6 linked regions of the Rattus norvegicus genome follow. The protein of the gene in region 1 binds, or shares a complex with, the protein of each later gene. Links are inferred from orthologs where the notes say so. Each region holds a gene or a part of one and is shown in the gene's direction. Other genes may lie near its edges.

Region 1 (4,785 bases):
CACTTGTGTGCAGTGGCAAATGTGCACATTCACAAATAAATATGTGTAATCGAACTTTCTAAAAGAGAGGAGTGTGTTTGTTTGATTTTGTTTGACAGGGTCTCTCTATGTAGTCCTGACTGTCTTGGAGCTTACTCCGGAGACCAGGCTAGTCTCAAAATCAGAGAGATCTTTCTGCCTTTGCTTCCCTAGTGTTGGGGTTAGAGGTGTGAGCAGCACACCCAGATGCATAGGGTTTTTTTTTTTAATTATTTTTTTTAGCCAGGCAGTGATGGCACACACCTTTAGTCTCAGTGCTCAAGAGGCAGGGGCATGGGCTGGAGGGGTGGCTCAGAGATTAAGAGAACTGACTATTCTTCCAGAAGTCCTGAGTTCAATTCCCAGCAAGCACATGTTGGCTCACAACCATCTGTAGTGAGATCCGATGTCCTCTTTCGTTGTATCTGAAAGCAGCGACAGTGTCCTCACCTACATACATATAATAAATAAATAAGATCTTTAAAAAAAAAAAGAGGCAGGGGCAGGTGGATCTCTGAGTTCCAGACCAGCCTGATCTACAGAGTGAGTTCCAAGAGAGCCAGGGCTACACAGGGAAACTCTCTTTCAAAAAACAAAAAAGTTATTTTTTAAAATGTAGCTGGAGAGATGGCTCAGTGGTTAAAAGCACTGACTGCTTTTGCAAAGGATCCAAATTTGACTCCTGGCACCCACACTGGGTGGCTCATAACTGCCTGAGCTCCAGCTCTAGGGATCTGACCTCTGGCTTCCTTGGGTACCAGCCTCACATGCATTACCCACACATAGACATATACACATAATCAAAAAAGAAAACTATAATATATGTGATATGTTTCATATATGTGTATGTGGGCCACTCAGAAATTATACTGTGGGCTTCCCAGTGCCTAGCCCTCTGCCAGCTGTTTCCCGGACTGTACATGACCTCTGTCAGCCCTGATGAAGTTAAGGCAAAGCAGGAGTCCCTGCTCCCGGGTGTGGGTGTACCTGCTCTTTGTCCCTCTGTTCTATTTAGACCCTGGACTAATATTTACCTTGTAAACAGGAAATGGGGGAGGGTGAGAAGCAAGGCTAGAGCTGCTGTGTAGAACCAGGAGCCTTAAGAGACTGGTGCAGTGCAGACAGGTTGTGAGGGAAGGAGCTGTGTCAGGGAGACCCAGAGACTTGGGCCAGTACCCGTTCTGGGGCAAAAGATTGAAGAAGACAGCTAGAGGCCACATGTTCCTGGACTTGGCTCCTCCCCGGCAGCCTCTATTCACAGCACCCACAACACCCTTAGAGGAGAAGAAAGAGGAGCCACCTCCTGGCTGAGAGCTACCTTGTCTCATAATGAGAGAGCTTTTGCCTGGCCACGCCTCTCTCTATTCCTTATATCTGTGCACACATCTGTTGATCAGTAGGCCCCGTGTTTCGTGTGCTCTGCATTGGTATGCTCGATTAGTTCTCAACACAAAGCGTTATGCCCGCTGCACAGATAAGAAAACTGCAGTGCGTGGTTGTGAAGAGTTTTGCACCATCCCTGTTGTTGGGATGAGGAGGAGCCCCCAGAAGGACTCACTGATTTACATTTACTCACATAATAAATGTAAGGTGTTGGATGATGGTCTTCTCTATATGACTTTTCTCCCCAAGAACATCCACCCCTGGTTCCAGGAGAAACTGTCCTCTTGAATGTCAGGGGTGGACATTTGTCCCCAAGGCCCTGATCTGCTGACCTCTCCCTTGCCACTGATTTCTTCACATTGGTTCAATATTAACCCAGAGAGAGTCAGGACAATCCCTCAGATCCCAGGAGCTGACACACTATGTCGCACGTCCGCGGCCTGGGCCTACCTGGCTGCCTGGCTCTGGCTGCCCTGGCTAGCCTGGTACACAGTCAGCATGGTAAGGGGCACTTGGAGGCCTCGGGCAGAATAGAGGATGTGGGAAAGGCCTGAGGGCTGGGGTTTCCCTGCCTAAGATCAGAGAACACAGGGACAGCCCCAGGTGGACCTCAGATCAGAGTGTCCAGCTTAGAGATGTCGTCGTGTGTGGTGCAGGGAGAAAGGCATCGCTTCTGGGGAGTGGGCTAGGGCAACCAATGAAAGGCAGACGACTCACAGACTGTTCAGTGGCCTTCTGGGTACTTTCCTCATCCCCTCTGTCCCCTCTTGGAAGCTAGCAGAGCTGCCAGCTTCCTACCCCTAATGGTTAAGATAGCCAGGCTTCCAGAGGCGATTCCCATGCCCCTGCCCCCTGCTGCAGTGTTCCTGGCCCCTCAGCAAGCACTGTCGCTGCTCCAGCGGGTCCGCAGAGCCAACAGCGGCTTCCTGGAGGAGCTCCGAAAGGGCAACCTGGAGCGTGAGTGCGTGGAAGAGCAGTGCAGCTATGAGGAGGCTTTTGAGGCCCTGGAGTCTCCCCAAGACACGGTGAGCCCCACAACAGTGGCTGCTAAGAGGCAGGGCAGGTAGGCAAGGCCTGGGCTTCCTCAGCAGAGGAGTGCAGAATCACAAGTGACAGGAGTAGGAAGCATCCGGGTTGTTTCCCGTTTCAGACTTTCACTTCCATTCGGACCCCTGTCTCCTTGAGCTGCAAGATGGGCACCCAAAATCTGTCTTTGGGACTGTAGGCCTGGGTTGTCATGACATGAGGAAAGCTCATCAGCGTCAGCCCCCAGTATACTGCGGCTGTCTGGGTTGTCTGGTGTCTTTCTTGCTTAAGCCTTTCCGCCATCTTTGTGTTCCCTTGTGTACCCACTGGCTCTGGGGCTCTGTTCCATTCCCTTCGGGGGTTGGGGGAGGGTGTAGTGAGCTCTTTTGTCTCCTCCAGCCTGGAGGAGATCTTGTTCAGTCAAGTGTGCTGGGGCCTCTTTCTCTCTTCACATACTCTCTCACGGGTTGGGGATTTAGCTCAGCGAAAGGCCCTGGGTTTGTCCTCAGCTCCGGAGCGGGAAAAAAACAAACAAAAAAACATACTCTCTCCTTTTGGAAGCCAACGTAGGAGACTAAAGCTGGGCTCAGGTGGTAAGGAACGGACGTAGTGTAGAGTAGAACTCCATCCTGCCATGGCCTCACCCCCAACCCTTGCTTTGCAGGATGTGTTCTGGGCCAAGTACACAGGTGAGTGGCCAGCAAGGTTTGCCCAAGGAGGGGAGGCTGGGGAAGGGGGTACTCCAGCCAGAGAATGCCCTCTCCTTCAGAACTTGGTGCTGCATAAAGCACGCCCCGCACCCACTCTGCCCTCCCACATCCCTGCCTCCATCACCTGTTCCCACCCTGTCCCCACAGCGATACCAAGTGAATTTCTGCTTTTTGTTTTCAGTGTGTGATTCAGTGAGGAAACCTCGAGAGACCTTCATGGACTGTCTAGAAGGTGGGGAACAGACTCTGCGTGGGTGGGTGGGTGCTGGGGAAGCCTGGGAGAAAAGAATTGCTGACTGGTCAGGAGCCTTGGCTCAAGTGGTATCTTCAGTGCCTGACAGTGCCTCTTCATCCTTGGTCAAGGATGCCTTTGCATGTGGCCTTGTGTCTGGCACTTAGCCAGACTGTTGGAGGAATGAATGGATGATTAATCTCAGGGCCCTACTGCACTTCTGTTCACCATGTGTCAGAGCTCGGTCTTGTTAATTCACTCTCTAAAAACGTTTTTGTTTTGTTTTCGAGACAGGGACTCCAACAGCCCAGGGTGGCTTTAAACTTGCTAGGTGCTGAGGATGACCCTCCCATTTCTACCTGCCCAGGGCTGGGAGTCCAGGCATGTGCCTCCGATGGCCAGGTTCATTCTCCTGGACATCTGACAACTCCCCATTACTCACAAGCTCTTAGCTAGGAAAACTTTGCCTCTCAGGCCTTGACTTCCTATTCTAGACGCCCCCTCCCCCCAGAAGTGGACCAGTAAACATGTCAAGATGTCTCAATCCTTGCTTACTTTGTTACTTTCTCCAGAGCAGTCAACAATCTCCACTGAAAACCCTGTCCTCCCCAGGGACTTCTCTGAGTCTTAGGGACAGCCTCCCTCTGAAGCATTCTGAATATACCTTTATTCTAATGATAGGCTTTACTATGGACAGGGAACTCCTTAAGGGCTATAGTTTCCTTCCTCCTTTCCTTCCTCCTTTTCTTCCTTCCTTCCTTCCATCCTTGAGTCAGGGTCTCTGGTAGCCTAGGCTGGCTTTGAACTCCTAACCCCCCACCCTCCCATCTGCATCTGAATGTGGAGCCACACACCTGCACCACTGTGCTCAGCTCATGGTTCCACTTCTTTCTAAATTTTTTATTTCCTTAAGATGGTGATTTTTTTTTTAAAGACTAGATTTTTCTATTTAGCCTTGGTTGTCTTATAACTTGCTGTGTAGACCAGGCTGGCCTGAAACTCACAGAGCTCTACCTGCCTCTGCCTCTGCCTCTGCCTCTGCCTCTGCCTCCTGAATGCTGGGACTAAGGGCATAAACCACCACACCAATACTTGTCGTTTTATTGTAATATGAGTGGGTGTTTGCCTGATGTACATCTGTATACCACTTATGTGTCTAGATCTGCAGAGGCCAGAAAAGGGCATTAGATCCCATGGGACTGAACTTAGAGGCCTTGTGTGCTACCCTGTGGGTGCTGGGAATCAAACTCTGGTCCTCTGGAAGAGCAGCCAGCGCTCTTAACCACTGAGCCTTCTCTCCAGCACGGGGATATCTTTATGTAGATAGCGTCTAAATGCATATGAACTGGCCTTGAACCCTCTTGTACTTCTGCTCGCTGAGAGCCAGAGTTATAGGAGGAGCCGCCAAACAGGTGC
Region 2 (4,015 bases), on another chromosome or scaffold:
TCTGCAGGGAAGATGCACCAAAAAGAAACAGCATTTAAGTACCAAGGGATTCTCACAAGGGCTCAGAGTCTGCCACAACTGACACTCAAAGCAGTCCCTAAGTAGACTGGAGTCTCTCTGAGCAACTTGATGCTGCTCCTGGTAGAGACCTATGTGGAGTTAACACACTCTCTCTCTTTCTCTCTTTCTCTCTCCCCCCATCTCTCTCTCTCTCTCCCCCTATCTCTCTCTCTCTCCCCCACCCATCTCTCTCTCTTTCCCCCACCCATCTCTCTCTCTCCCCACCTCTCTCTCTCACTCTCTCTCTCCCCCAACTCTAACTCACACACACACACTCTCTCTCTCTCTCTCACACACACACTCCCCCCCCCCTCTCTCTCTCTCTCTCTCACACACACACACACACACACACAGACACAATTTAGTACAATATAATCCAAAGATATATTAATTTGGTAATTATGTGCTGAAGAATGACAGTAGAAACACATTTTAAAAGTTTTTGAGGGGTTGGGGATTTAGCTCAGTGGTAGAGCACTTGCCTAGCAAGCGCAAGGCCCTGGGTTTGGTCCCCAGCTCTGAAAAAAAAAAAAAAAAGAAAAAAAAATTTTTGAGGACAAGACGTAGTGGTACATATCTTTAATTTCAACACTCAGGAGGCAGAGACAGGTAGATCTCTGTGAGTTCAAAGCCAGGCTAGTCTACACAGTGACAGCCAGGACAGCCAGGGCTACACAGAGAAACCCACCTTGAAAACAAACACACAACTCAAAAGGTACAACCCAAAAGATGTACACCAATTTATGCATTTGCTAAGTCACCAACCTTAACTTGCCCCTTCATTTTTCAATGGGGAATAAGCTTTCCATGAGCTTAAGGAGACTCCACCCACAGTGTGCCAGCGGCCTTCTCACAAGGGGGGCCCAGCAGATATGGCACCCAGAACGATGCACAGTGCCTCAGTTATGCTTAACTTTACAAGATATCCTGAACAAGATGGGGCAGACATGCTGATAAAGATAGTGACATTCCAAATCACAGCCACACAGAAGAACTGGCGTTTGGAAGTAGTTTGTCCCCAAGAAGTGATCAAAGAGAGCTGAAAGGGTTCTGCTGACAAAGCTACTTGAGTAGTGTTTGAATTAGGACATATTTGCTTTGGAAAACACACAACAGCTCAGCACCAAAGTTCACCCTGAAAACTGCTGGTGGCCCCTCTGGTCTCATCTCTGCCACGCCACTGCTCAGAGGCACAGAGGTAAGTTTGGTTACTAACATTTTTTGCCAATTATAAATTTTTGTTAATATTTAAAGCTAGATAATTGGTTCCTTTATTAAAGTACAAATTGAGAAAAAGAATATATCATTAATTTTAAATTTTAATTTAATATTTTTTAAAACTTAGTTTAATATTTAGTTTAATATTAATATTGGCATAACTGACAAAACTGGAACTTGAATTTTAAGAGACAAGAGTATTGTACCTTTGATACTTTAAACTGGAGACTGGCATGGTAGCACAAGGCTGAAATTCCAGCATGGGTAGCGCTGGGTATCCATCACCTCAGGGCACTTAGATGACTGTCTAGTGCTTAAGTATGACAATATTCCTGTTCTCAGGAAGTTTCCCTAAGCATCACTATTAAAGGTCGGAGGAATGTAAGAGTTCTAACCTCAAAGGCTCAGAAACAATGTACATATGTAGACACATATACATGTACACACATATGCACATATCACACCACACACACACACAAAGGAGACACAGCGGCTGCACTGCTATTCTATTCTTTCAATTCTTCTGTAAGATTGTAACATAAAAAGGTTTCCATGTTTCCCCCCCTTCTTGCTTGCTCTGTGTGAATCTGGAGACATCATGGCAGGAGATGGAGTTCTCTATGACACACATACAAAAAGGCCAACTCAATCCATGCAACTCTCAAGAATACACTATATGGTGTTCCCTGAAAATACAGCTTGGATGATTTACTTTAAAAGCACAGCACTTCGGGCTGGAGAGATGGCTCAGTGGTTAAGAGCACTGACTGCTCTTCCTGAGGTCCTGAGTTCAAATCCCAGCAACCACATGGTGGCTCACAACCATCTGTAATGAAATCTGATGCTCTCTTCTGGTGTGTCTGAAGGCAGCTACAGTGTACTCATACAATAAAATAAAATCTTAAAAAAAAAAAAAAAGCACAGCACTTCAATTCAAAGACAGTAACTTGAATGCAAACACAAGTTACAGGTGTCTTTAAATGCCTTAATTGTTTTATGAAACTGATGAGCAAAATAGAAAGATTTACCTGTCAGATCTCTAATTTTCAGTGCATAAAATAACTTTATATTTTTCCCTTCCTCTAAGAAGAGAATAATGAAACTATGGCTTATGGCTTTTGGATATAGAATAATGAACTATGGCTCATGGCTTTTGGATATAGAATAATGAACTATGGCTCATGGCTTTTGCTGATGCTTACCCTCCCAAGCCACCCGAGCCCAACCGGAATGTGTCTGTGTCTGCAGTTCCAGGATAAGACGAAGAATAGCTTTACCACTGGGCTCAGACTAGTCCCCTTGAGCACACATTAACTGAAGTTGGCTTTTCTTCTTCTTTAATATTACTGTTACTAATTGCTGTTTTAGCCAAGGGTACTTTTAATTGTAATCATAAAAACACTTCCATTAAGTTGCTTCTGTCCTCCCTTTCTTTTTAGAGAGATGTATTTTCTTTTTATTTGTGAATATGCACTTGTCTGTTCAAGTGTGCACCACATGTGTGCAGATTGCCAGACGAGTGTCAAAACCCCTTGGAACTGGAGTTACAGATGGCTGAGCCACCTACCTGGAGGGCTGGGACCTGAACTCTTGTTCCTCTGAAAAGTAGGAAGTACTGAGTGCTGAGCCCCCTCTCTAGCCCGTTTACTGTCAGTGACACCCATGCTGATTCTGTCTTGAAATGGCTCTGGTTGTAGCTGCATACATTAGGTACTGTTCCTAGAAACTGTTCCACATGTGCACATTATGCAGCACCGGTCTCAGCACAGTGCTGAGGAGGCTCAGGCATATTCAGAATCAGAAAACCTGTGAGTCTTTTTCCAAAATAAGCACTTCTGAAGCCCCGCAGCCAGCTGTAGATATAGCTAGGAGAGCGCCCTGCTAGCGCTGAGAGCCCTGTCTCACCCCAGCACTGTACAGAATAGTTACGGTGATACAGTTCTACAACTGAGGAGGTATAGGTAAAAGGGTCAGAAACTTAAGGTCAGCCTTGGGATACAAGATTTTCAGCTGGCCTGAGATGCTCAATGTCTTTTTAAAAAGTCCCTCAGAAATAAAACCATGTTAGGGCCAGGAGGTGGAAATACCACGCCTTTAATCCCAGTGCTTGGGAAGTAGAAGAAGGCTGATCTCTACAAGTTCAACCAGCCTGGTCTAAAGAGCCAGTTCCAGGACAGTCAAGGCTGTTGAGAAACCTTGTCTCTAAAAAATCAAATCAAAACAAACAAAAAACAAAGCTGGGAATGCTAATTTTAGCCACATTGTAGGGGATAGGCCCTAAGGACAAAGATTGACAACAGCTGCTCCCCAAGCGTGAGCAGTTCTGAGTGTCCTGGCACTCTACGGCAAGCAAGGCAGGCGTGTGAGACCAGGGACCTGGTTTAACCAACCTGGTTCAAATCTAGTCATTATCTACCATCCCTCAATCCCTACATTTTAGAGCTAGGGACTGAACCCTGGTCCCATGCAATCTGTGTGAGAGTAGTTAATATTTATCTATATTCCTGGCTCAAACCACTGCCATCTCTTAGTAGCTGCAAAGGAAGGCTACATCTCATGATAGGTTAAAATCGTGGCAGAATTTCAAATAGAGCATCTGCAAAGCTAGTCCCTAACTGTCTTCAGGTCAAACAGGTCTGAATACTTTATTAGGAGCCAGCAACCCTTAATGAATATAGACTGGCAACAGATATTCTAAACCAAGAAATGGTCACAGGCACAAAACAGACTTCTCTTT
Region 3 (4,642 bases), on another chromosome or scaffold:
ACAACCCTGTCATTACCACATCGGAAGGTTTCCTTGATCTGTTTATTCTATCTACACACATCCTGAGCACTTGCTGAGTGTTAAACTACACTTTGGACACAGGGATGCCCTGAGCTGTAGTCTCCATCTCTGTCTCTCTCTGCCTCTCTCTCTCTCTCTCTCTCTCTCTCTCTCTCTCTCTCTCTCTCTCTCTCGACATACTGTGAAGAGGGAGAGAAGAAAAACAGCAAGAAGCAAATAGGGAAGAAAACAAATCAAATCATAATGAGGTTTATGAAAAAAGGGGGGGGAGGAAGTGACTTCAACTCGAAGTGACTTCAACTCCGTAGTCAAAGAAGGCTTCCCAAAGGAAGTAAGGTCTGACTGTGACCTGAGAGGGCAGTCTCTCAGGAGCATTTGGGACAGAGGGAAGAAGAAAAGTATATGGAATTTGTAAACTGTCATGACTGTACAGCAAAGGGAGGCGCACGAGGGTGTCTTTTTTGTAGATTGCATTTCCTTGTTTAGGGGACAAACCTTCCATAGCATTTGTCCCTACAAAAGAAACTGTGAAACACACACACACACACACACACACACACACACACACACACACACACACACACACAGGGTGGAGGAGTGTCTGGCATGGATATAGCCGTGTCAGTGTGGCTGCACAGTGGTCTGAGTTGCTCTAGCAGTGGGTGCAATTTATTTCACAGCCCTAGGGAGATTTTTTTTTTCTTCGCTGGGAACAAACATGGGGCCTGATGGGGAGGGCGTTGCAACAAAGGCAACAGAAACTACCATGAAAGTCCATACAAACCTAACCTGAGCAGAGGACAGAAGAGTGCAGAAAGGGACACCCAGGCGACAGACCATGGGACAGAACAGCCATCTGTTGCTGGCCTCAGGTCTGCAGCAGTTTCCTACTGATAAGGTCTCATGGGCTAAAGGTATAGGTTCAAAACACCTGGATCTCCGGAGCTCTGAGAATACTTCATGATGTCACCACAAGCAAGGGGTCAGTTTCCTGCATGTCCTTGCCTGTCATGTGCCTAGGACTCCCACCGCTCATCCACTAAGCAGGAATAAGTTGGCTCTGGGGCACCTGGAAGGGAGGACCTGTTCTAGCCCTCCAGGTCCTGGCTCCGTTATTCCCATCACCTGCAGGACTGCACACTGTCGACCCCCTCCCTATCCCCAGACGACGCGTCCTGCGTCTCAGGGGCACACCACTGGCTTCGGTGTCGCCCACTCCTCTCCACTCCCCATACGCTCATCCGGACGACCCACGTGCAGCTCTACCCCGGGTTGGCGCCGCACCTCGAGCCCGGCGCGTCTGGCCGGCGCTTTCTGGGGACCCGACCTCCACCGCCCCAGCGAGAGGGCAGCATCCGGCGACCGCGGGTCCGGCCGGGGGGCGTCCTTAAGTCCCCTGCGGTGCAGAGACCTTGCGGCCGGCTGCCACACAAAGGCGGCGGCGGGAAGGCGGGGCGGGGCGGGCCGGGGGGCGGGGGAGGCAGGAAGGGGCGGGGGCGGCGGCGGTGATAAAGCCCCCGCGCTGCCTGGCCGGCTAGTGCAGTGGTTGCACCGGAGCGCGGGCTGCAAGCGTCACCACCGCCTGTCCCCCACCGCCGCGCCGACCTCCTTCCCGGCTCCGGCCGCCACCTGGGGATCCAAGCGAGGACGGGTGAGTACTGGCTGCCGGATCCCGGCCGCTCGGAAAGGAGCCAGGAACTGTCCCCCGGGCAGCGCCGCGACCGGTGCTGGGGCGGGAACTTTCTCGAGCCGCCACGGCCCCCGCTGCGAGCGCTCCTAGCTCCCGCGTCCCTGTCCCCGAGGGCTCGGGCGTCCAGGTGTGCCCCAGGCTGGCGGATCGCTCGCCGAGCTCGGTGTAGCTACAGTGGGTTCAGCAGGGCTGCAAAACGTGACCCTGAACCGGAGGCGTCTGGGCACTCACGGGTAGCACCGACCCCATACTTTGCTTGTGCGCGGCTCCCTGTCCCGGGCGACCGGCTCTTACTTGTAACCTTTCCCTGAGCAGTGCGGAGGTGGGCAGCGGTTTGGGAAAAGGCTTCAGTTCACACTGGCCTTTGCAACAGGCTTATCCCTAGGATGCAGCCCCAGTTCATTGCTATTTCTTATTTATTTTCATCATCTGTAGACCAGGGAATTGAGAGGCCGCCGAGTGACTCCAGGAAAGGTGAAAGTACTCAGAAATCCTAGGCGGAATTAGGTATTTAATTTGCCCCCACAATGAGCCGAGAGGGGAAGCTGCTCTTACATAAGACAGCACTCCACCTTCAGGTATTAGGGAAGGTACTGTTGAGGATTTTTAGTGTTTGAATGAACAAAACAGAATCTCCGCGTGTCTCTCTTGAGAAATCTCCAAACGCGGCTGGATCTTGCTTTGACTACTTTGCAGAGAACGTTCTTATATTTAGCACGAACATAAAAAGGTGTTTGAAGGTTTAACTTTCTCTTTCAAGCCAGGAGGCAGTTTACTTTTCTGAACTGTTCTAGAACAATTGATCTGATAATGTTGTACTTTGGAGATCTCGTACCTGAATGGGAATACAGATAACTGGGAGAAATGTCAGCATCACCGATTTGTGCATCAGACGCACACTTAAAAACTGAAGGCGCTTTCAACACTTTCTGAGGCTCTAAAACAATAATTATACCCTGTCGGCAACATTTAAGCAAAAATATTCTCAAGAGCTATGCCACCGATGATGGCTCCATTAACCATGGAGTTTTAGCTGTTTTTCAGAGTAGTGTTTGGAAATTTTGTTCAGCTAAGGGTGACTCCTGAAGGTCATGAGCCCATGCCATCCTCCTTCTTCTTCTTCTTCTTCTTCTTCTTCTTCTTCTTCTTCTTCTTCTTCTTCTTCTTCTTCTTCTTCTTCTTCTTCTTCTTCTCCTCCTCCTCCTCCTCCTCCTCCTCCTCCTCCTCCTCCTCCTCCTCCTCCTCCTCCTCCTCCTCCTCCTCCTCCTCCTCCTCCTCCTTTGAAAGAATCTATGCAGAAATTTTCTCCCATGAACTTGACAAATTAGCACAATAAGACAGAAATTGCCGCGTCTGCAAAGGATGCTGATTTTCAGCTGCACACGGAGGTGACTTGACAGTGGTCAGAGATGGGTTGAGATGGAAAAGTTGGAAGGCTCCCGGTCCCCCTCCATGGCACTGCCTTCTCTTCTAGCCAGCTCTTCTCCCACATGGTTCAGAACTTTGGCCATTTTCCCCTCTTGTGGTTGTGATGCCACAGGCTCTTGATTCTGTGGCCGTGTCAGGTCCAGCGGTTTACACACACTCAGATTACTCAGTCCTCTCAGCACGGTTCAAGACCTGCCCTCACCTGGGGGTGCTAGGTTTCTAATGTTAGAAGCACCTGCTGGGTGTAGTGATACATACTCTCAAAATCCCAGCGTCTGGGAGGCTAGAGCAGAAGGACGGCTGTGACCCTATCTACATAGTGAGCCCCAGATCAGCCAAGGCTATATAGACAGACAGACAGACAGACAGACACACACACACACACACACACACACACACACACCCCAACACCAACACCAACTCCAGGCTCCTCCCCCTCCCCCAGGCTCTTCCATTGTAGGGTTTTTCTGGTGCCTTCCGTGCTTCAGGTTCTACAGGTGACCTAATGACCTATGTTCCTGAGAAAATAAAGGCCACCAGGCTTATTCCATGGGTCACCTCTGGGCCACCCCGTAAGCATTTCCATATTTACCCATTCATCTGCTCCGTCTCCCCAGACCTGTGTGTGCCTTAAATTATTTGGTGGGGGGGGGCACTTTTCACCTTTGCTAAATATAGCAACTCCTGTCTTCCTGAGATCATCATTCTTACGGTGGGAAAAACGGACAGAAATCACATCTATGGTAAATACTCTGGTGTGTAAAAGGCCGGGAAAATAATCAAGTTGAACTGGGAATTTGTAGATGAAAGCGAAGGCTCCCGGTGCCGGTGACTAATGTCCCCAGCTGTATCATGAATCCCAGCTGTCCCTCTGCTCAGGAATCTTACTCCTCTCTCTTGCCTTCTGTTCATTCTCTCACCTGGACCCCGATTTCAGATGTAATTTTGCATTGCTCTAACCTCCCTTGACCTGGCATTTCTACCTTATCCCCAGGGATCACTAGATTGCTCCATGCTTCTTAAACTATTTCCTACTTCCCCGGTCTCCCTTGTCCTCAGCCCCTGCCAGTTTCCCCAGAACAGAAGAACCTACAATTTCCTGCATGAGCCGTCTCCTGGGTGCTCAGCTGGCCTCCATTTGACTCCAGGCATTTTCTTCCGTGCCTTTCTATAGCTCTCTTCCCTTCTGGTTTTCCTTCCCAGTGCTCCTCCTCTCCCTGGTTAGACTATCTGTGGAGTCTTTGGCTGAACCAGGTTCCCCAGGTTCACCTATCACCAGTACCAAGTGAGTCAGTCCCAGGTTACCATCTGAGCTAAGAGCATTCTCCTACATTTCAATTGGTTACCAGCCTTGAGGTCTTTCTGTGTCGGCTTCTTGTATGCAGGTATGCATATATGTGTTTGCATGCACGTGGAGGCTAGAGAACAACCCCAAGCAACATTCCTCAGACACTGTCCATCTGCTTGGTTTTGTTTTTGTTGAGATAAGGTTCCTCACTAGCT
Region 4 (4,639 bases), about 58 Mb from region 1:
ACATCACAGCCTTCTGTTCTCATCTAAAGTCTGAGCTGTACTGGATCAGAGAAGCTATTTATTAGTAAGTCGTGGGAACTACGCAGGGCTTCCCACAGACGAATTTCCTAACCTCAGGCTAGGCTCCAGGCAGCCCACACTTCTCAGTAGCAGTTATAGTAATGCACCACTGTCCTTGGATTGGTCTAGAGTTCAACAGCACCGCCTCCTGGCAGTTGGGTGGAAGTGACAGCCGCGGGGTGTAGGGCGCGAGTAGGGAAGATGAGGGAGGTGGGGACGAGGTGGCTAAGCTTTGATTTGGACACAGCCCTCCCCATTCTTGGTGAGTGCTTAAGCGGATAAGTCATTAAGTGACAGATTTCCATCCGCCCCTCCCAGCTGCCCACAGGACCCTCCTCTTCAGTGCCGATTGTGAGCAAATGGACTGTAGGCATCTCTATCTTTTGAGACTCTCAAATGACAATGGAAGTGATCACCTCCAAAGGAACCAAGTAGAATCCATTGTAGCTCATATCACCTCCTTGCTGTGGTCCCGGGCCAGTTTCACTAAGGGGTTTGAGATAGGTTTGGAGGAAAACGAAACAGAACAAAACCAGAACAAAGGAACGCAACACACCTTTCCCAGAGAATTCTGGAGGAATTCAAGTGGGAAAGGGGGCCCTGATCTCTGAACCCATACAACACTTGCACGACATTCTCAAGCAACTAGATAGGGTCTGGCCTTGGCGATGCCTGCCCAAGATCAGGGGATTGCTGTCCAGATGTCAGAATGGAGAAGAATGGAGAAGGCTTTGAGGTTATTAGACCACTCCATCCTCTTGCTGCCCTAGTATAATTTCCCGGCCTCTTCTAAGGTCATTTGGGACCCAACCCCTCTGCTAGTCACAGCAGCCAGGCTTCCTGAGCTCCCATCAGGGATCTAGCTAATCCTTCTCAGAGTCTTGCAAGTCTCAGACACACCCTCTACCAGACTCTTCCTTTTTTTCCCCCCTGCCCCAACTACCAGGCCATCCTCCAAACTCTGGTAGCATCTATAGGGAAGTGTGTGTGTGTACGTGTGCGTTTGCTTGTGTACGTGTGTAGAGGTTTAAAGACAGGCTACCCGTGGGCTATACCGGAGAGTCTGGGACGGGAACTGTCGACTTGCTGACACAATTCAGTTCTGTGGTGGCGCCTGCAGGCCACGCCCTAGGGCCTCCCTACGCCCAGACAGTGTTTTTAACTCTTCGCACAGAGGTGATCCCAGGCTGGAGGGCGGGCACAAGGCGTCCGGAGAACCCAGTAATCCGAGAACGCAGCATCAGCCCTTCCCACTAGGCACTTCCTTCCTTTTCCCGAACCTCCAGAGAGGGAGGGCCGCGCATTTATAAACTGGAGCCTCAGCTGAGTGGCATGTCAGAGGCTGCCTCGCAGGGACTACGAACCTGGGCTAGAAAAGTCTAGGCTGAGACAGAGGCTAACTGCTGTCGCCGCAGACGTACGAAACCCTCTGCCGGGACTGGGTGCCTGCACCATCGCAGTGCTAGCGTTTTCTCGTAGCTTGCACGGTGTTCTCCTGAACAGCATGCTTGGGGTTTTCCTTCTGGGTGTGCTGGCTCCAGCTGGCCTGGGGATCTCTGCACTAGCCAAGCTGCAGCCCAAAGGCAGTCAATGCGTGGGGAATGAGTGCTTCGCGCTTTTCCAGGACCCCGTGACCTTCCTCGATGCCAGCCAGGCCTGCCAGCGCCTGCAGGGACATTTGATGACAGTGCGCTCCTCGGTGGCTGCGGATGTCATCTCCCTTCTGGTGAGCGACAGTAGTATGGACTCACGGCCCTGGATCGGTTTACAGCTCCCTCAGGGCTGTGGTGACCCGGTGCATCTCGGGCCCCTGCGCGGCTTCCAGTGGGTTACTGGGGATAACCACACCAGTTACAGCAGGTGGGCGCGGCCCAACGACCAGTCGCCTCCACTTTGCGGTCCGCTGTGCGTCACGGTCTCAACAGCAACAGAAGCTGCACCAGGCGAGCCGGCCTGGGAAGAGAAGCCGTGCGAGAACGAGACCAAGGGTTTTCTCTGCGAGTTTTACTTCGCAGCTTTCTGCAGGCCTTTACGGGTGAATACCCGAGATCCTGAGGGTGCCCACATCTCTAGCACCTACAATACCCCATTGGGGGTCAGCGGCGCGGATTTTCAGACGCTGCCGATAGGCAGTTCTGCTACCGTGGCGCCCTTTGGCTTGGAGCTGGTGTGCAGGGCCCTGCCCGGAACTTCAGAGGGACACTGGACTCGGGAAGTGACAGGAGCTTGGAACTGCAGCGTGGAGAATGGTGGCTGCGAGTACATGTGCAACAGGAGCGCTAACGGACCCAGATGCGTCTGCCCCAGCGGCGGGGACCTGCAGGCTGATGGCCGTTCGTGCGCAAAACCTGTGGCTCAATTGTGCAACGAACTCTGCCAGCATTTTTGCGTCAACAACTCTGATGTGCCAGGCTCTTATTCCTGTATGTGCGAAACAGGCTACCAGTTGGCGGCAGACGGACATCGGTGTGAGGACGTGGATGACTGTAAGCAGGGGCCCAATCCATGCCCTCAGCTCTGTTCTAACACCGAGGGCGGCTTCGAATGCCGCTGCTATGATGGCTATGAGTTGGTGGACGGAGAGTGCGTGGAGCAACTGGATCCGTGCTTCAGATCTAAATGCGAGTATCAGTGCCAGCCAGTAAACTCCACGCACTACAATTGCATCTGTGCTGAGGGCTTCGCACCTAAGCTGGATGATCCCGACAGGTGCGAAATGTTCTGCAATGAAACTTCGTGCCCAGCAGACTGTGACCCCAACTCCCCAAGCTTTTGTCAATGCCCTGAGGGCTTCATCCTGGACGAGGGTTCCATATGCACAGACATTGATGAGTGCAGTCAAGGCGAATGCCTCACCAATGAATGTCGAAACCTTCCTGGCTCCTATGAGTGCATCTGCGGACCTGACACAGCCCTTGCTGGTCAGATTAGCAAGGACTGTGACCCCATCCCTGTTCTGGAGGACTCAGAGGATGGTGGCTCTGGGGAGCACCCATCAAGCAATCCGACGGTAGTCTCTTCGACAGTTCCCCCTTCTGCAAGACCAATGCACTCTGGTGTGCTCATTGGGATCTCCATTGCCAGCCTGTCCCTGGTGGTGGCGCTTTTGGCGCTTCTTTGTCACCTGCGCAAGAAGCAGGGCACTGCTCGCGCAGAGCTGGAGTACAAGTGTACCTCTTCAGCCAAGGAGGTAGTACTGCAGCACGTGAGGACTGATCGGACGCTGCAGAAGTTCTGAGGGATTTACTCCAGAGACCAAGGTGGCCTTTGTCTTTCCGGGCTCTGTACCTCTCCTTTCTCTCTCTTCAGCCTCCCAGCTGTGCTCTCTGGCAATGTAAAAGCATTCTGGCTGGTATAATAACCAGAGAAGAGCTCATCCTCTTATGACAAGCGAGGGTAGGGAGGACTTGAAGCCGGAGAGCCCAGTTTCTTCCAAGTAGAGACTGGACAACTGGGCGGAGGTGACAAATACAGTGAAGATCCCAGAGTGTCCCAGTCCCTCACCTCGGGGTGCAGGATGTGTGGGTGCTGCTGATCTGTAGGCTTGGAGGCAAACCTTGACCCTATGGACTGGAGATGACCCAGATATTTATTTTTTTAAAAGTATTTAGTATTTTCTTCCCTTCAGCTTTATTCTGCTTGTAAGTCTCCAGTCCCTCACCCTTTTCTGTGTCCCTCCATTCCTTTCCCTCCCCTCCCCCTCTCCATCATTCTCCTCCCCGAACCTGATCATAGTTTGCCTTTACCCTTGTCTCCAAACTCTTATGTGAAACAGAAAAAAAAAAAACACTAAACGCAGAAAAATATTTTTTTTCGCTAGCTTTGGCAATTTAATCGGGGATTTCAGGTAACCAGAGCAAAAGAATTTAAACAAAAGTTAAAATGTTTCAACTGAACACTAACTAGTTAATAGTGCTGGAATATCACAGAATTTAAACTCAAGGAAGTAGGGTTTTGATTTTTTTTAATCTTTGTTTTTGAAAGGGTGAGCCTGGGTTTTATGATTGTTGCTGTTGTTTTTTTTTTATTTAGAATGACAAAAGAGGTAATAATTATTAAACTTTTTATGCCGGCTTCTACAGTGTTATTAATTTTTGACAGTGTTTCAAATGTGCAGAGGATCCTTTGTCCAACCCTTTGACATTCCAATAGGACATTGCCATCTTCAGACATATTGGGCCACATTCATAGCTATCCAAGAATGTATGTGGTCCTTAGCCTGGACATATCTGAGACGGATGGATGGAAGCATCTTCCAGTAAAGCTTGAGCTGTATGCTTCGTGCCTGGCTGACTCTCCACTGTGTTTGCCATTTGTAGTCCCAAAATAAAAGCAATGTGCTGCTTAGGGAGATATGGCAACTTGGGAAAGGAGTCTGGGGGGTGACTAGATGGGACTTTGCTTTAATGAAACTCTGGAACGATATCTTGTACTTCAGAGAGATCTACTAGCCCTGGCCTATACACAAGAATTGGGACCTCCCTTGGGATCTGGCTAGAATTGCAAAATCCTAACCCCCACCCTACCCCACTCCCACCCCAGTGAGCCAGTTCATAAGAAGCTGCATTTTGACAACATC
Region 5 (4,665 bases), on another chromosome or scaffold:
ACATAATTTATTTCTGTATATATAAATTTTCATTAAAATATTTTCATCTCAGGTATTTCATATTTTAATACTGTATCTTTTATCTTTATGATATTTTATTTTTTAATAACATGTAAAATAGCTTTATTTTTATAACATTTTCTATTTTTTAAATATCATGAGACTTTTTAATGTCATGTAGATAAATCTCCTTTTTATTTATTTTTTAATGTAAAATTGACTGGGAAAGAGGTTTTATAGCAATCATCTCTTCAGGCAAAGGTAGGTCAATGAAGGACTGTTGTGTCTAGGAGCCTGGGCATGTTGTCTGAACCTGGGTTCTGAAATCTGTGCAGCAGTGGCTGTAAGTTTTGACTGTGTATACACACACACACACACACACACACACACACACACACCTCCCATACACAGCTCACAAAGGCCCTCATCCCCAACCCTTACACCTATGCTGTAGTGGGGAGAATCTGGCAAAACCAAGCAGGTTTTTGTTAGGATAAGGATATAGAGGCTTTCCACAGTAGATGGCTCCTGGTGGGCATAGAGATGGGAGGGGTTCGCTCATCTTTAACGGCCTGGCCACCAGGAGTCTGACCATGCTCCAGTGAGTATATAAACAACACAAACTGGTTTCTTAAATCTTTTTGGGGGGGCACAAGAGGTGGGGAGTGGGCTTGGGGTGCTGGGAAGTAAGGAGGATGGGATACATTATGTCAAATTCCCAAATAATAACAATATTATGTTAAGAAGATGACTTTCCTATCCCTTATTTTACTCCTGAAGTTTCTACTCCTTCCTCCAGGTGGTCTTTCTGGGAACAATTTTATTTTTAAATTTCTCTATGAATTATGGCCATACTTCACTCTCTTTCTCATATTCAGGTGTCCCTCTTCAGGTACTACTTGACTTGGATGGTTCGGTCATTTATTTTATTTTTTCTTTAAAAGTAACAATGCCCTGAGGGAAAGGATCAGGGGATCAGAAGATAAAGAGAACAAAAGATAGAGACGATACAGTTTAGGATCAGGAAGTCTTGCTTGCACACCTATGTCTTATACCAAGCAAGTGTCTTTTAAAAGTATAGTATCTTATATACTAGGACTGGGGAGAAGAGGAGATAGAGTCAGCAGAAACTATCATACAATGGGACAAAGTCAGAGGGAAACTAATCAACAATGTTGCAGAAGGAAAACAGGTTATCTCAAGAACATTACAGACTGAGCACACAGAGGCCTTGGGATTGATAATGCCATCTCTTCAGGGGAAAGAGCCAAGTCCCAGGAACAGAAATCTTAATACTTTCAAGGCTCCAGCCTCAGTCTCAGACTGGTATTGACAGGCACATTCTTAGACAAAGAAACAGAAGTAGGTTCATTTTGTCTTTTTATCAGGGGCCCTGAGAAAGCCTTAGATTAGCCCAGCTCCCAGTGGGGCAGAGTTGGAATGGGGTGGAGACAGAGTCTCTGTGATCCATGACATTTGCCAGCTATAATTCACTCTGTCCTCTCTCTTCTCATAAGCCAGGTGGATTGCTACCCATCAAGACACTCAGCCACCACAATACAGAGTGAGTACACCTGCCGAGGTAGGACCGATGGCCTTAAGGATGTGGGTGGGTGGAACATAGCCCCTAGGCAATCTGCAGCCAAGGAACCCTATGAATGAGGCACAATGCAAAATCCTAAACTTAAGACGTTATGGGGGGAAAATGGTGATATTCTCTCTCTCTCTCTCTCTCTCTCTCTCTCTCTCTCTCTCCCCTCTTGTAACTCCATTGCATGTTGATCTTTGCAGCCCCATGGCCTAGCTTCCTTCTTATCCTCTTGGAGGATAAAAGGGGACATCTTTGCAGATGTCAGCCTACTTATTGTCTCTCTCACTTTGACCCACAGCTGTTCTCTCTTAAGAACATTTTCCTCTTCTCCCACTCAGAATGGCAGCCACAATGAGGTTCTTCCCCATTCTGTGCCTGGTGCTGTTCTTCAGTCACGGGGTGGCTTCCCGCCAACGCTCCCATTCTAAGGAGAAGAAGAAGTCTAAAGAGTCCTCTGTGGGTGCTGTGGGGACTTCCCGAAGCAGAGACTTTGCCTTCAGGCTCTACAGGGCCTTGGCTTCTGAAGCCCCTGGTCAGAATGTTTTCTTCTCCCCCATGAGCGTGTCTATGAGCTTGGGTATGCTCTCCCTGGGGTCAGGCTTGAAGACTAAGGCACAGATCCTGGAGGGCCTGGGCCTCAGCCTCCAGCAAGGCCAAGAGGATATGCTCCACAAGGGCTTCCAACAGCTGCTGCAGCAGTTCAGCCAGCCTAGTGATGGCCTCCAGCTGAGCCTAGGCAGTGCCCTTTTTACAGACCCAGCAGTACATATCCGGGACCACTTTCTGAGTGCCATGAAGACATTGTACATGTCAGACATGTTCTCTACCAACTTTGGGAACCCTGAAAGTGCTAAGAAGCAGATCAATGACTATGTAGCCAAGAAGACCAACGGCAAGATTGTAGACTTGATCAAGGATCTTGACAGCACCCACGTCATGGTGGTGGTAAATTATATCTTCTTCAAAGGTAAGCCTTAGGCTCCAACTTGAACTTTCTGTCTTTTCTCTTTTCTGTTTTTATTTTTATTTTTTATCATAAGATAGCATTCCCTCCCTGATAAAAGAGCAACTCACCCAGGTGCCAGCTGGGTGGAAGGAAGGCAGCCCCATGTAAGACAGAGCATCCTTATTAGTCTGTCGGTGATCCAACAGTCAGGAGCTGGTCCTTGTCATAGCCATCATGACAAAACAACCCTAACTGTCAAAGCCACTAGAAACAGGATAAGGACCTGATCAGGATTAAGAGGGCAGGAAACAGGAGGGGGTCAAAGACTACTGAAAGCAAATGTCTGTTACCATGCCAAGACACAATGGTCAGGACAGATTTTTTTTTTAAAGGACCACTTTATTGGGGCTGGTTTACCATTTCAGAGTCTACGACCGTCACAGTAGGAAGCATGGTAGCACACAGATAGGCATGGTGCTGGAATAGTAGCTGAGAGCTTACGTATGATCCACAAACACTCAGCAGAGAGGGAAGGGGTGCTGGTGTGGGTTTTTGAAACCTCCAAGCCCACTCTCAAAGTCATACCAATATGTGCTGACGAGGTCACACCTCTTAATCCTTCCTAAAACAATTCAACCAACCAGAGATAAAGCATTCAAACATATGAGACTGTGGGGGGTGGGCATTCTCATTCAAACCACCACAGCAAGAGTTTAGGAGGACAGGAGGACAGGCACATTAAAGGTTCAGGATACCCCAGAGTTATGAGGGGATTTGGCCTCTGAGTTATGGGTACTGCTGTTGCTGAGGTTGCTCTGTAGAGACACTCTTTGGATTGTCTCCACTCTTCAGTCACAGCCAAGGGTCTCATTTTTACCCAGTTCTCTTTTACTCCTACCCCTTGTTCATCTTTAGCCAAGTGGCAGACGGCCTTCAGTAGCACCAACACCCACAAGATGGATTACCATGTGACTCCCAAGAAGACCATTCAGGTGCCAATGATGAACCGCGAAGATATATATTCCTACATCCTCGACCAAAACATTTCCTGCACGGTGGTGGGGATCCCTTACCAAGGCAATACATTTGCTCTGTTTATTCTTCCCAGCGAGGGCAAGATGAAGCGGGTAGAGGATGGCCTGGATGAGAGAACGTTGAGGAACTGGCTTAAGATGTTCACAAAGAGGTACTCTCTGGGCCATTTTGGGGGCACGGCCTTCTACCCATGTCAGGGGAGACACACTCCAGGACCTCATAGTACCGGTGGGAAGGACTCCTCAGGCAGTGAGATAGCCCCAAACCTAAAGGCTTCCCATGAAGTCTTCAGCCCAGGACCTGGCCCAGCTTGAGGGATAAGATGCAGAAAGCTGGGGTTCTAAGGTGACACCAGAAGCCTAAGTGATTTTTTATAGTAGAGAATAGAGTTTAATAAGGGCATGGGGAGAGGAGTTAAGAGGGTAGTAGAGACAGAGAAAGGCAGAGAGAGAGAGAGAGAGAGAGAGAGAGTAGAGATGGCCATGAGCACTGGAGGGGGGGGAATGGGGAGAGAAGGAGGAGCAGGAAGGAGAGGACAGAGCTAGAGCAAGAAGGCAAAACAGCAGCCTAAGTCTAAATATGAAGCAAGGGACGCTTCAGAGATGAAGGTTCCAGAAAGTCTGTGAGGCCACAGAGAGTGGGTGCTAAGGACTTGTCAGCAAGCTCATGGTATCTAAGAAGGGACCTCCTTCTCTCTCCAGACAGTTAGATCTTTACCTCCCCAAGTTCTCCATTGAGGGTACCTATAAACTGGAAAAAATCCTCCCCAAGCTGGGCATCCAGGACATCTTCACCACCCATGCTGACTTGTCTGGCCTTACTGACCACACCAATATTAAGTTGTCTGAGGTGAGTTTATAAGCTCCTGAGCATCTAATTTCAGAAGTTACCATCCTGTCTCTTCTCACCCCATATTACCCTATCCCATCACACACTATCCTGCCCCAGCCCTCCCATTAGACCCCATCTCACTCTAACCCATCATACACCAGCCCACCCTACCCCTCCCATCCCATCATCCATCTCATCCAATCCCATCCCACCCCATCCCATCCCCATCTCATCCACCCTCCCTACCTCATCCTACCTCATC
Region 6 (4,091 bases), on another chromosome or scaffold:
GCACAGTAAGTTCCAAGGCAGCCAAGGTTACAAAATATAACCCTGTCTTAAAAAAAGAAAAAAAGAAAAAAGGGAAAAAAAAAGGAAAAAAAAAGCCTAGAGCAGATTTTGAGATTCCTTTCCTGAGACTTTTTTTCCTCCTTCCTGAAATTCTTTCCCAGTGACTGTGGAACTTATGACCAACCAGCTATGTATTGTGACCTCCTCCTTTGTACTAATTTGATTGGGTTTAGGGAATGCAGTAAACTTTGGAGACTGAGAATAGCCAGAGTGCCAGAGAAAACATGCTTAGACCTTTTGCTGTTATTGGGGAGAGAGGGTGAATTTGAGTTAGAACTCAGAAAAGCAGGCAGGTTCAGTGATGCGGGTGATGCTGCCTGCTGGCTGGCGCTCTAAACACCTGCGTCTCTCCGTAGCGGAAGTTCAGTGAATGTTGGTGCCCTGTAGTGGAGCTCTCCCCGGTAAGTGGTAGAAGCTCTCAGTGACTGCATCCCTGCACAGCAGGAACTCCGTCAATGGCTGCACCAGGTTGGGCTTCTAGGAAGGGTAAGAACCTCATCACACAGAGATATAATTATTCTGCCCATCTCCTTGGCCATGCCTTGCAGCTTTCCTGGGAAGTGGTACCCTGGCCTTCCTGGTCACTGATAGGGCCAGATGGATTAACTCTTCATGGGGAGACAATAGTAGGTGATCTCATTTTAGAAGCAGATCACAGTGTCATCTCCACTCAAGGCCTGAGGCAGAACTCAAATTCCATACCACCCGAATGCCCTTTCCCTTAGTGGACTTTAAGAAAGCCCTGACACCTGCACCTTTTTATTGGGTGTTATAAGTCTTGGGTTGGGGGCAGGGGAGGGGGGCAATTGGTGTGTTTCCCTCTCTAGTGTTAGCCAGGAAAAAGGAGATGGGGTCCAAAATAGATTATAAGAGAGGGGTCCATTATAAGTGGCTTCCTAGGTGACTAATTCCTATTATTCCCCATTCAAGATTGAAGATCATTTAGGAGATGGGCTGGGGTTAGGACTTACAAGGTCGTAGGATCTCCATTCGTAATGACCTTCAGACCTTGGAAGAGGATAAGGGACCTGACCTATTAGACCGAGGCAGGATCTGAGTATAGATCAGCTGTAAAGAGAAGAAATCAAGACAGCACCGAGTGCACAAGACCCAGAGACTACCAGATCACTACCAACATTGTATAATGGGTAAAACCCACTGCCACTGTGTGAACTCAGAGGTCACCCCCAAAGCTCTTCACCAGAGGCAGTGGGCGATGCTTTGCTATGGAGGCTCAGTCACAACTTCTCGTCAGCTTCCAGGCATCTGGGAAAGAGGGAAGGGGACGAGAGTCCAGAGCAGGGGCAGGCGCCCCAAACACTTCAGGCATTTGCGGCCTGCAGCAAAGACAAAGGATGTGGTGTCTTGTCCCTGAAACTGCCTTTCGGTTTCCTACCCACTGCCCACCTTAGCTCTGAGAACAGAGCAGCAAAGTGTGTTCCCTACGGTCTGTGTAACATCTCCCCAAGTGCTGTGAGCCCTGAGGGACCAAGGCTCTTTCCCCTCACACCACACTGTCTGTCCTCGGGCAGATTCTCCAGTGGACACCAGTCATGTGTCTTCTCATTTCATTCAATTCAGACACCATCTACATTTGAGAGCTCAGCCCACAAGACTGTCTGTCTCCAGAAAAAGATACCTAAGCCTCGACCTCCAGACTCAGACAGGCTATGTACTAAGGGTTCCCCTGACTTCTACTCAGATTCTAGTCTGCTAGAGCAGCTAGCTCAAGGAACCCAGAGAAGCACCTATGCTTCCCATCCATCAGAAATGGTATTACGGAAGATGCTAATGAATGAATGGCCAGGTGGGAAAGCTGCCCTGCCCTCCTGCCAGTCATGCCTCAGGCTTTCATGTGATCAGCCCTGATTCTGAAGCTATCTAGAGGCCTTGAACCACCAGTCAGCTCATTGGCATACAAAAGATGCTCTTATCCTAGAGATTCCAAGAATCTTATCTATGTGCCGGGAACTGCACAGAGGTCAGGAACGTATTCCTGGGTATCATAGACACTGGCTTTGGATCTCTCTCAAATTAAAAATCATCGGGAAGGGAAAAAAAAGTCTGTCATCCTATCCTCTAAGACCTACCCTTCCTACCTGTGCCTTCTACTGTCCTGTGACCCTGAGTACCTTCAGCCATTGGTGGGGAGTAACACGGAAACACAGCAGAGCCTAAAGTTCTATTTTAAGAGGATTGTCTCGGGGATGCTACACAGCTGAACTCATCATTCATTGCATTACAGATTTGAGAGCCTCTCTGAAAGTTTCCACACCAAAAAGAAAAAAAAAAAAAAATCTGGAAACCCACTGCACTTGTCCAGTTTCCAAGGTTTAACTCTGGCAACATCTCTGAGAGAGAGGCATAGCCAGCCTTTGCCACAAGCACCCCCAGTATCAGGGACTTTGCATTCCCCCTGTGGTTCCTATTTGCACACCTCAGCTTCCCAGCATGCAACAAATGTAGGATTTTTAGCGAAGCTGTTTGTTCCCCAAAGCCTGCTGTCTGACTGGTGCCATTAATTTTTCTCTGACTGACATTTCAAGTGGATAGTTTTGATGGAAGGAGGTGTAGATAATGACATCTGGTTGATACTCCAGAGAGCCTGGTTGACCAGGCATGCACCTTGAGGCATATAGCATTCTAGAATAAGGTCATGGCCAAGCACATGTGCTCCTAGACTGACTTGCTAGGCAAAGAGGCAAGATGCTGGCCGAGGGGGATCGGTGCCTCCTGGCCTTGTGAAGATGTAACTTGAGGGCCTCTGCACCTAGATAGCTAAGCCATCATGACATCCTACTTTGTAAGCAAACTGAAGATTTGGGGAGCTCTGGGTCCTACTCTGAATGGCCCCCTATTCTGTGGCCTGTAGAATTAACTCTCTGCTTTCTATTTTGTGGATTTTTTTTCCTTCGGGAGAGGTGGGTTTCTCAGGATGGCTCAAGCTAGCTGGGGAAGGAAAGAGAAGTCGTAGAAGCTGGAGACGACCTGTGCAGACAGATGGTGGGGTACAATGGTGGGGGGGAGAATGCATGGTTTGAGGGCTGGCAAGGTGGCTCAGCAGAAAAAGACACTTGTCAAGAAGCCTGCCAGCCAGAGTTCAATCCCCTGGGTCCACATGACAGAAGGAGAGGACCAGCTCCCCTCCATCCTGTGCTATGCCTGCTCTCTCCTACCACACAAAATAAAATAAATAAAATGTGAAGCAAAGCGTCTTCGATCTTTCATGGTGAGTGAGGTTTGCAAGATCTCTGGAGTGACCTTTCGCTCCCATTCGTTCTCTGGAGCAGCAGAGAACAAAATGTTGTGCAATATTCCAACCTAGGTGCGTAGTCTCTAACAAGTCCGTAGTCCATCTGTGCAAGATCTAAACCTAGCCATCTGCTCCCCGGGAAAATTACAGAAAACAGACATAGCGCACCTCTGCTTGTCCGGGGTTGCCCGTTTATGTCACTCACGCTCTCGATTTTCTTCCTTCAGAATCTGAGAGGATGTATGCTACGCCGTATGCTACGCCAAACCCCCGCTCATTTTTTCTCAGGAATCCCAGTGAAGATACATTTGAACAGTTCCCCCTAGGGGATGAGGAGGAGAAAAATGAAAGCATACCGCTCGAGGGCAGGGCAGTCTACTTAAATAAAAGCCGTTTTCCTCCCATGCCGCCTCCTCCCTTCATCTCCGAGGACGCCTCCGGATATCTGACCAGCCCCTGGCTGACGCTCTTCATACCCTCCGTGTACACGTTTGTGTTCATAGTCAGCCTTCCCCTGAACATCCTGGCCATCGCTGTGTTTGTCTTTCGGATGAAGGTCAAGAAGCCGGCCGTGGTGTACATGCTGCACCTGGCCATGGCCGATGTCCTCTTCGTGTCCGTGCTCCCCTTCAAGATCAGCTACTACTTCTCCGGCACCGATTGGCAGTTCGGGTCCGGAATGTGTCGCTTCGCCACCGCAGCGTTTTATTGTAACATGTACGCCTCCATCATGCTCATGACAGTCATAAGCATTGACCGGTTCCTGGCAGTGGTGTAC

Evidence for each region.
Region 2: the proteins of F2 (region 1) and Serpind1 are in contact, whole or in part, in a crystal structure (PDB 1JMO), measured with the Homo sapiens proteins. The link is inferred for Rattus norvegicus from reciprocal best matches to the Homo sapiens genes F2 and SERPIND1. Residues at the interface, in NP_000497.1 of Homo sapiens: Lys384, Ser385, Pro386, Gln387, Leu389, Leu390, Cys391, His406, Cys407, Tyr410, Pro412, Trp413, Asp414, Lys415, Leu423, Arg425, Ser430, Thr432, Arg433, Tyr434, Lys440, Ile441, Ser442, Met443, Asn458, Leu459, Lys470, Trp511, Ala513, Asn514; in NP_000176.2 of Homo sapiens: Glu75, Asp76, Asp77, Asp78, Tyr79, Leu80, Leu82, Ile85, Phe86, Asp89, Asp91, Val305, Glu306, Met307, Thr308, His309, Gln327, Asp343, His361, Lys362, Arg388, Thr457, Val458, Gly459, Phe460, Met461, Pro462, Leu463, Ser464, Thr465.
Region 3: the proteins of F2 (region 1) and Serpine2 are in contact, whole or in part, in a crystal structure (PDB 4DY7), measured with the Homo sapiens proteins. The link is inferred for Rattus norvegicus from reciprocal best matches to the Homo sapiens genes F2 and SERPINE2. Residues at the interface, in NP_000497.1 of Homo sapiens: His406, Tyr410, Pro412, Trp413, Trp455, Arg456, Glu457, Asn458, Leu459, Glu509, Thr510, Ile542, Asp562, Ala563, Cys564, Glu565, Trp590, Gly591, Glu592, Gly593, Cys594; in NP_006207.1 of Homo sapiens: Val225, Arg288, Ser355, Ala356, Thr358, Thr359, Ala360, Leu362, Ile363, Ala364, Arg365, Ser366, Ser367.
Region 4: the proteins of F2 (region 1) and Thbd are in contact, whole or in part, in a crystal structure (PDB 1DX5), measured with the Homo sapiens proteins. The link is inferred for Rattus norvegicus from reciprocal best matches to the Homo sapiens genes F2 and THBD. Residues at the interface, in NP_000497.1 of Homo sapiens: Phe382, Ser385, Pro386, Gln387, Leu423, Arg425, Thr432, Arg433, Tyr434, Arg436, Asn437, Glu439, Lys440, Ile441, Met443, Lys470; in NP_000352.1 of Homo sapiens: Ser424, Cys425, Glu426, Cys427, Tyr431, Ile432, Leu433, Asp434, Asp435, Thr440, Asp441, Ile442, Asp443, Glu446, Asn447, Gly449, Phe450, Asp479.
Region 5: the proteins of F2 (region 1) and Serpina5 are in contact, whole or in part, in a crystal structure (PDB 3B9F), measured with the Homo sapiens proteins. The link is inferred for Rattus norvegicus from reciprocal best matches to the Homo sapiens genes F2 and SERPINA5. Residues at the interface, in NP_000497.1 of Homo sapiens: Arg383, Pro386, Glu388, Leu389, Leu390, Cys391, His406, Cys407, Tyr410, Pro412, Trp413, Asp414, Lys415, Trp455, Glu457, Asn458, Leu459, Asn506, Arg541, Ile542, Asp562, Ala563, Cys564, Glu565, Gly566, Asp567, Val588, Ser589, Trp590, Gly591; in NP_000615.3 of Homo sapiens: Gln241, Lys295, Lys296, Arg297, Thr368, Ile369, Phe370, Thr371, Phe372, Arg373, Ser374, Ala375, Arg376, Leu377, Asn378.
Region 6: the proteins of F2 (region 1) and F2r are in contact, whole or in part, in a crystal structure (PDB 3LU9), measured with the Homo sapiens proteins. The link is inferred for Rattus norvegicus from reciprocal best matches to the Homo sapiens genes F2 and F2R. Residues at the interface, in NP_000497.1 of Homo sapiens: Phe382, Arg383, Pro386, Gln387, Glu388, Leu389, Leu390, Cys391, His406, Cys407, Tyr410, Trp413, Lys415, Leu423, Arg425, Arg431, Thr432, Arg433, Tyr434, Ile441, Met443, Glu457, Asn458, Leu459, Asn506, Thr510, Lys517, Gly518, Gln519, Arg541; in NP_001983.2 of Homo sapiens: Ala33, Thr34, Asn35, Thr37, Leu38, Asp39, Pro40, Arg41, Ser42, Phe43, Leu44, Leu45, Arg46, Asn47, Pro48, Asp50, Lys51, Tyr52, Glu53, Pro54, Phe55, Trp56.

Annotation. Positions count from the first base shown.
Region 1 is NC_086021.1:98,062,270-98,067,054, reverse strand, and holds the start of F2 (prothrombin precursor), read left to right. Parts: upstream 1-1,808; 5' UTR 1,809-1,823; coding exon 1,824-1,902; intron 1,903-2,262; coding exon 2,263-2,426; intron 2,427-3,091; coding exon 3,092-3,116; intron 3,117-3,318; coding exon 3,319-3,369; intron 3,370-4,785. UniProt on the Homo sapiens protein: Thrombin, which cleaves bonds after Arg and Lys, converts fibrinogen to fibrin and activates factors V, VII, VIII, XIII, and, in complex with thrombomodulin, protein C. Functions in blood homeostasis, inflammation and wound healing.
Region 2 is NC_086029.1:97,176,956-97,180,970, reverse strand, and holds the start of Serpind1 (heparin cofactor 2 precursor), read left to right. Parts: upstream 1-1,215; 5' UTR 1,216-1,258; intron 1,259-4,015. UniProt on the Homo sapiens protein: Thrombin inhibitor activated by the glycosaminoglycans, heparin or dermatan sulfate. In the presence of the latter, HC-II becomes the predominant thrombin inhibitor in place of antithrombin III (AT-III).
Region 3 is NC_086027.1:88,634,131-88,638,772, reverse strand, and holds the start of Serpine2 (glia-derived nexin precursor), read left to right. Parts: upstream 1-1,570; 5' UTR 1,571-1,672; intron 1,673-4,642. UniProt on the Homo sapiens protein: Serine protease inhibitor with activity toward thrombin, trypsin, and urokinase. Promotes neurite extension by inhibiting thrombin. Binds heparin.
Region 4 is NC_086021.1:156,316,951-156,321,589, reverse strand, and holds the start of Thbd (thrombomodulin precursor), read left to right. Parts: upstream 1-1,411; 5' UTR 1,412-1,564; coding exon 1,565-3,298; 3' UTR 3,299-4,639. UniProt on the Homo sapiens protein: Endothelial cell receptor that plays a critical role in regulating several physiological processes including hemostasis, coagulation, fibrinolysis, inflammation, and angiogenesis.
Region 5 is NC_086024.1:128,786,620-128,791,284, forward strand, and holds the start of Serpina5 (plasma serine protease inhibitor), read left to right. Parts: upstream 1-1,461; 5' UTR 1,462-1,469; coding exon 1,470-1,564; exon of another isoform or gene 1,565-1,582; intron 1,583-1,889; exon of another isoform or gene 1,890-1,929; coding exon 1,930-2,558; intron 2,559-3,452; coding exon 3,453-3,723; intron 3,724-4,273; coding exon 4,274-4,421; intron 4,422-4,665. UniProt on the Homo sapiens protein: Heparin-dependent serine protease inhibitor acting in body fluids and secretions. Inactivates serine proteases by binding irreversibly to their serine activation site. Involved in the regulation of intravascular and extravascular proteolytic activities.
Region 6 is NC_086020.1:28,606,785-28,610,875, reverse strand, and holds part of F2r (proteinase-activated receptor 1 precursor), read left to right. Parts: intron 1-3,540; coding exon 3,541-4,091. UniProt on the Homo sapiens protein: High affinity receptor that binds the activated thrombin, leading to calcium release from intracellular stores.